2 linked regions of the Sus scrofa genome follow. The protein of the gene in region 1 binds, or shares a complex with, the protein of each later gene. Links are inferred from orthologs where the notes say so. Each region holds a gene or a part of one and is shown on either strand. Other genes may lie near its edges. The genes, in order: ARID1B and SMARCA2.

The links.
Region 2: ARID1B (region 1) and SMARCA2 share a complex: the UniProt entries of both Homo sapiens proteins name them as parts of the neuron-specific chromatin remodeling complex. The link is inferred for Sus scrofa from reciprocal best matches to the Homo sapiens genes ARID1B and SMARCA2.

The regions. Positions count from the first base shown.
Region 1 is NC_010443.5:9,790,820-9,794,268, reverse strand, and holds the end of ARID1B (AT-rich interactive domain-containing protein 1B), read left to right. Parts: coding exon 1-1,223; 3' UTR 1,224-2,642; downstream 2,643-3,449. UniProt on the Homo sapiens protein: Involved in transcriptional activation and repression of select genes by chromatin remodeling (alteration of DNA-nucleosome topology).
Region 2 is NC_010443.5:219,745,640-219,749,461, forward strand, and holds part of SMARCA2 (probable global transcription activator SNF2L2), read right to left. Parts: intron 2,750-3,822; coding exon 2,586-2,749; intron 714-2,585; coding exon 647-713; intron 1-646. UniProt on the Homo sapiens protein: ATPase involved in transcriptional activation and repression of select genes by chromatin remodeling (alteration of DNA-nucleosome topology).

The sequences.
Region 1 (3,449 bases):
GCAGGCGTCCGCCTCCCCCGTTAAGCTCCACAGGCAGGAAGAAAGACCAGGAAGGCAAAGCGGATTCTGAAGAGCAGCAGGAGAAAAGCATCATCGCGACCATTGATGACGTCCTGTCTGCCCGGCCAGGGGCTCTGCCCGAAGACGCGAACCCTGGTACCCAAGCCGAAAGCAGTAAGTTCCCCTTCGGAATCCATCAAGCCAAAAGTCACCGCAACATCAAGCTGCTGGAGGACGAGCCGAGGAGCCGGGACGAGGCCCCGCTCTGCACCATCGCGCACTGGCAGGACTCGCTGGCTAAGCGCTGCATCTGCGTGTCGAATATCGTCCGGAGCTTGTCCTTTGTGCCTGGGAATGACGCCGAAATGTCCAAACATCCAGGCCTGGTGCTGATCCTGGGGAAGCTGATTCTTCTTCACCACGAGCATCCCGAGAGAAAACGAGCGCCGCAGACCTACGAGAAGGAGGAAGACGAGGACAAAGGGGTGGCCTGCAGCAAAGATGAGTGGTGGTGGGACTGCCTCGAGGTCTTGAGGGATAACACGTTGGTCACTTTGGCCAACATTTCTGGGCAGCTAGACTTGTCTGCGTACACGGAAAGCATCTGCTTGCCAATTTTGGATGGCTTGCTGCACTGGATGGTGTGCCCGTCTGCGGAGGCACAGGACCCCTTTCCCACCGTGGGCCCCAACTCTGTCCTGTCGCCTCAGAGACTTGTGCTGGAGACGCTGTGTAAACTCAGCATCCAGGACAATAATGTGGACCTGATCTTGGCCACGCCTCCATTTAGTCGTCAGGAGAAATTCTATGCCACGTTAGTTAGGTACGTTGGGGATCGCAAAAACCCAGTCTGTCGAGAAATGTCCATGGCGCTTTTGTCGAACCTTGCCCAGGGGGACGCGCTGGCTGCCAGGGCGATAGCTGTGCAAAAGGGGAGCATTGGCAACTTGATAAGCTTCCTAGAGGATGGGGTCACCATGGCCCAGTATCAGCAGAGCCAGCATAACCTCATGCACATGCAGCCCCCGCCTCTAGAGCCCCCTAGCGTGGACATGATGTGCAGGGCGGCCAAGGCTCTGCTGGCCATGGCCAGAGTGGACGAGAACCGCTCAGAATTCCTTCTGCACGAGGGTCGATTGCTGGATATCTCGATATCAGCTGTCCTGAACTCTCTGGTTGCGTCTGTCATCTGTGATGTACTGTTTCAGATTGGGCAGTTATGACACCAGTGAGAAGGCAGCATGTGTGAGTGAAGACTAGAGGCTCCCGTATAACTGGCTGTTTTCTGTTCTTGTTTATCCAGCGTAGGAAGAAGGAAAGAAAATCTCTGCTCCTCTGCCCCATTCACTATTTACCAATTGGGAATTAAAGAGATAATTAATTCGAACAGTTATGAAATTAATATTCGCTGTCTGTGTGCATAAGTACATCCTTTTGGGTTTTTTTCTTTCTTTTTTTTTTTTTTTTTAACCAAAGTTGCTGTCTAGTGCATTCAAAGGTCACTTTTTGTTTTTCACAGATTTTCTTTTTAATGTTCTTTTCCATGTTGTATTGCATTTGGGGGGAAGCGAATTGACTTTCAGGAGAAAAGTCATGGCAAAAGATGCTAAGATGGGAAAATTTCACCACTCTGAGGCAAAAAAAAAAAAAAAAAGTGAAAAATGATCAATTTCCTGGCTGTGTTCTTCTTCAGATAATGCAAACTGTATCCCATCGCCCAAAGTTCTGTGCAATAGAAACTTCTAGAGATGTAGGTATAGGGGCTCACGGAGGTGTGTCAGTCAGCAGTCAAACTATGAAATGATACTGGTTTCTCCACAGGAAAAATGGTTCCATTAGGCTAGGAGCAAAAACAATGTTTTTTAAGCTAAGATTGAAAACACATACCTGACAACGATCAAGGGAAATTGCTTCCTCACCACTATCGTCACGTCTGCTGTCTGTCGTTGACCTTCCGCGTGACAGTTCTTCACAATTCCTTTAATCATTTTTTAAATATTTTTTTTTTTTACTGCCTAATGGGCTGTGATGTATATAGAAGTTGTACATTAAACATACCCTCATTTTTTTCTTTTCTTTTTCTTTTTCTTTTTTTTTTTTTTTTTTTTTTAGTACAAAGTTTTTAGTTTCTTTTTCATGATGTGGTAACTACGAAGTGATGGTAGATTTAAATAATTTTTTATTTTTATTTTATATATTTTTTCATTAGGGCCATATCTCAAAAAAAAAAGAAAAAATACAAAAAACAAAAACAAATAAAAAAACAAAAAAAAAAAGAGGGTAATGTACAAGTTTCTGTATGTATAAAGTCGTGCTCTATTTCGGGAGAGCAGCTGATTACAATTTGCTTCATGAATCAAGGTGTGGAAATGGTTGCATATGGATTGATTTAGATAATGGTTACCCGTACAGACAAAAAGAAAAAACATACAACTAAAAGGAAGAAACACAACTTCAAAGATTTTTCAGTGACGAGATTCCACATTTGTATTTCAAGATAATGTAGTTTAAAAAAAAAAAAGAAAAAAAAAAACTTGATGTAAATTCCTCCTTTTCCTCTGGCTTAATGAATATCATTTATTCAGTATAAAATCTTTATATGTTCCACATGTTAAGAATAAATGTACATTAAATCTTGTTAAGCACTGTGATGGGTGTTCTTGAATACTGTTCTGGTTTCCTTCCAGTGGTTGCATAGTAACCAGAAATAGGGAAATACAGCCGCGTACTAACGTAGCCCCTCACTACGGAACCCTGAGACCAGGAGGGACGTTTAGGGGTTACCTGCTTTATAGAGTGGGGAGCAACAGTTTGATTTTTCTCCAAGTACTGAGCTAATTAGTCTTTGTCGGAAGCAATCAACTCTAACATCAAGGAGGTCTGAGAATTTTCAGTGTGTGCGGGAGGCGGCTGCCAGCCGTGGGGTGAGAGCCTAAGGGCTCGCCGGCCTGACCGTGTAACCTCCTGCCTTTTTCTAACCCCGTCTTACTTGCCGTCAGAGATGAGTCTGGTCCATGTTTTTCCTGTGTGCCTCAAAGTTCTTTCGCTTTTAGTTTCCTCCACCGTGTATGATATTTATATTGTGCAATGTTAAAGAGACTCTGTTATATTGTATGTGGTGTACATAGTGCAAAGTGATTATTTCTATTTCAGGGCATATTAATATTCTCATATCCCTTCCTACCTGGTGCACAGTAGCTTTTTAATACCAGTCACGTCTCATTTCAACTTTTTTCTTCCTGGGTCATTGACTGTTAATGTATAACAATCAGTTTCTTTGAAACTGCTGCAGAGTTGAGCTGTCAGTGGACACCCTGCTGACTCTACCTCTTCACCACCCTACCAACCCCAGCAGACTCAGAAATCCCAAGTCCTGTCGCCAGACCTGTTATCCGGGGGCACACTGCTCACGGTAATCTATGGAAGTGTTAGACATGAGCACTCAGTTA
Region 2 (3,822 bases), about 210 Mb from region 1:
ATTTTATATATATATATATATTACCCGATGGAAGTGCTTGTGAGTTGTCTCTCGCTATTCATGGCTTAATGGAGCCCAGTCACATGACTAAGGACTGCACATACATGCAATTATCATATATGGATCCATTATCCAAGAAGAAAGTGGCTAGCAAAATTGCACACACATCTGGACACTTTTCAGACCCTTATGGAGAGGCTTTCCCAATGCAGACCAAAGGAGGGCAGGGAGAGAAAAGGAAATTACGGCGACCTCAAGGTAGCAGGGAACCTGCTGCTCTGCTGAAAGGCTCCCTCTCTACAGGAGCATCTAGCAGCACCCAGGCGCCTGGGTAATTGCCCAACTTTGCAGGAACAGTGGGCCCAGTGGCAGCACGCGGGATGTGTGATATTTGTCATTTGTATTACTCTCATCAGAAACCTCGCAATATGATAATTAACAATTTTCTTCTGCATTTCACTATCTGAAAGTAATTATGGTTTATTACAGTAATCTTCTTGGGATGATTAACTCTCACTGTTTAGTACATGATGTACATGACAAAACTTTACAACCAAATACAGTTCACAGATGTGCATATGGAATGAAGAAAATAGAGTCTATTTTCTGCTTTTCCACATTTATGTATAAATACAGTATTCCAAACCTTGTAAGAAATTTTCACCACAGAAGGAGCCCATTTGTCGAATTCATATGTCCAGTTAGAGAGAGTCCTATAGAACAAAACAAACCAAAAAATAGAGAGACATTTGTATAAAAATTATTGGTTAAAAAGATGTTCTTACTTTTAGACCTCCCCTTAGAAGGAGTTAGAGAATATAAAAAAATCTCAACTACGTATTTATTTTAAAGGTGTGAAAATGAGGTACAAGTTAGAAATAAGCTGCCACAGAGCATGAGAGATTTATCTGTGGGTTCACATGAAAAAAAAATTAAAGAATGCATGAACATAGAGGATAAAAAAAATCTTAATTGTTATATTGAAAAACAGCAATTGCCAGAGTGATATGGGGACTCTAGAAACTGCCATGTAAAGTTCAGAGAAAAGTTGAGTTAAGGAAAAGAAATTATGGGAGTTTCTGTTGTGGCTCAGTGGGTTACGTTCTGTTGAGGATGTGAGTTCAGTCCCTGGGCCTCGCTCAGTGGGTTAAGGATCTGGCATTTCTGTGAGCTGTGGCTTAGATCACAGAAGCAGCTCAGATCCTGGGTTGCTGTGGCTGTGGTGTAGGCCAGCAGCTGTAATGCCAATTTGACCCCTCGGCCCTAAAAATCAAAAAAAAAAAAAGCGAAGAAAAGAAATTACAAAATTACAAAAAAAAAAAAAAAAAAAAAAAACTAAATAAATCTGCCAAGAGAGAGCAAGGGAAAAAATATTGATTGCGTTAAAAAGAAAAAAAATCCCTAAAAGCATCAACATAATAGGTAAGTCAGAACTTGCAAAATACAGATACAAAGCAAAATATATTTTCAAAATGTAGATAATATGGAAAAGATGTCTACATACCATGGATTCAAATAATATGGATTAAAGAGGTCTGCAAGTAACTCTTTAGACAAAACTGGAAGGAAATACTGCAACAGAATTTTCATTTTTTTTCTCAAGTCTGTAAAGAGCACTGAGATCTAAAAGATCTCAGTGAAGAGAATTGCAACCTCACACCCACAGCCAGACGCTCCAAGGAGGGCATTTAAACAGGTGTTCCTTTCCTCAGGTGTATCTGCTAAAGACCCAGGAGGAACCACTCACTGAGTGAGGCCCCAGGAATTTAGTGGAGAACAACAAAGACCCATCTTTATAAAGCAGCAAAATTACTGAAGGTAAACTGCACGTCCTGAGGGCAGTTTAACACAAAATTCACAGTTATAATTTTGCTTTATATGCTTTAAAAGAGACACTAAAGGGAGATTTAAGAATATATAATTTTTGAATATATGTAACCTTTTGGAAATGGAATAAAAAGAAAAATCAGAGAAATCTTATTTTTAAAAAAATCAAAATCTTCTGGCTTCATCAGCCACTTTGGGCACGAAGAGGAATGAGACTCACTGTGCAGTGTGCTGGCTATGAAGACCTCTAGGCTGAGGGCTGATAAGAATCACTTCATCAGGAGTTCCCATCATGGCTCAGTGGTTAACGAATCCAACTAGGAACCATGAGGTTGCCGGTCTGATCCTGGCCTCACTCAGTGGGTTAAGGATCCAATGTTGCCGTGAGCTGTGGTGTAGATCGCAGACGCAGCTCAGATCTGGTGTTGCTGTGGTTCTGGTGTAGGCCTGCAACTACAGCTCCGATTAGACCCCTAGCCTAGGAACCTCCATATGCTGCAGGTGTGGCCCTAGAAAAGACAAAAAAAAAAAAAAAAAAAAAAAAATCACTTCATCCTGCGCTTAAGTAGCCAGTCAAAGAGGCAGGTTTAGGGGGTGGGGTGGGCAATGAAAATTTAAATCCAGGTTACACACTCTTGGCAAACCCACTATAGGCTACAATTCTTGCCTTAAGTATAAAACACAGATAAACGACAAATATAGGGCAAGCTAGCTACAACATAAAGAAAGATAACCTCAGAATAAATGGCTTTACTTACGAAAGGGGAACAATGATGAGATAGGGGCCATTGAGTCTTTTGTGCTCCATCAGATAAGTGATGAGTGCAATGGTCTGTATGGTCTTTCCCAGCCCCATTTCATCAGCTAAGATTCCGTTCAAATTGTTATTATACAGAGAAACCATCCATTCCAGGCCCTGGAGCTGAAATGAAGAGTAATTGCTTCAATTATCCAAGATCTGCACAGGTAATTAATACTAATACAACTCAAGTGAGGCTGTGACTTCTTAACTCCTCGGTGCTGGATGGGGGAATTTCCCACCGTAGGAATGTGGGGGAAGCACTAGCACAAGAAGAAGTTCAAATATGAGTCTCTGGTGCTTGGCAGGTGCGGAGTGCTAATCAGATTTAGAAATGATGGGCTGGAGCCTACTAGCGGGATTTGAATCCGATTTGCCGTTCATCCCTACTTAGCATTTCACAGTATAGGACATTCTAGGATTATTATAGATGAAGAAAACCCAAACGAAAATCCATTCCGACCACTCTAAGAACAAAAAGCCAATGTGAGGATTAAAACAAAACAAACCAGAAGGCAGGTTTGGCACAGAGATCACAACTCATTAGAAATAGCCTTCTTGGGGAGTTCCCGTTGTGGCTCAGTGGTTAAAGAATCCGACTAGGAGCCATGAGGTTTTGGGTTCAATCCCTGACCTCACTCAGTGGGTTAAGGATCCAGGGTTGCTGTGAGCTGTGGTGTAGGTTGCAGACTCGGCTTGGATCCTGCATTGCCATGGCTGTGGCATAGGCCAGCAGCTATAGCTCTAATTAGACCCCTAGCCTGGGAACTTCCATATGCCACGGAAGCGGCCCCAGAAAAGGCAAAAAGACAAAATAAATAAATAAGTAAATAAATAAATAGCCTTCTTGGTCATAAACAGCCCCGCCCAGGGTGGGATCCTCTCAAGTGAGGAAAGAGAGTGACCAGGGAGCCAACGGCACCTGCTGGGGCCACAGATTGGCACTTCTGGGAAAAGAAAGCTCCCAGGCATGGTAGGGAAACTCTGCAATACAGGTGCATCCCAAGGGCAGCTGACTGCCTGGAAATGTGTTTAACATTTTTTTAAGTACAAAAGCACAGCACCAGGGTCACAGTGTTGGATTTCCTATGTTAAGCACAAGGAAGGTTGAGTGAAAGTACAAAAATGTTCAACTTTCCTATTCCAACCACCAGTTCCCTTGTACGACCACATCACAGATGCCAGCTTAAATAACA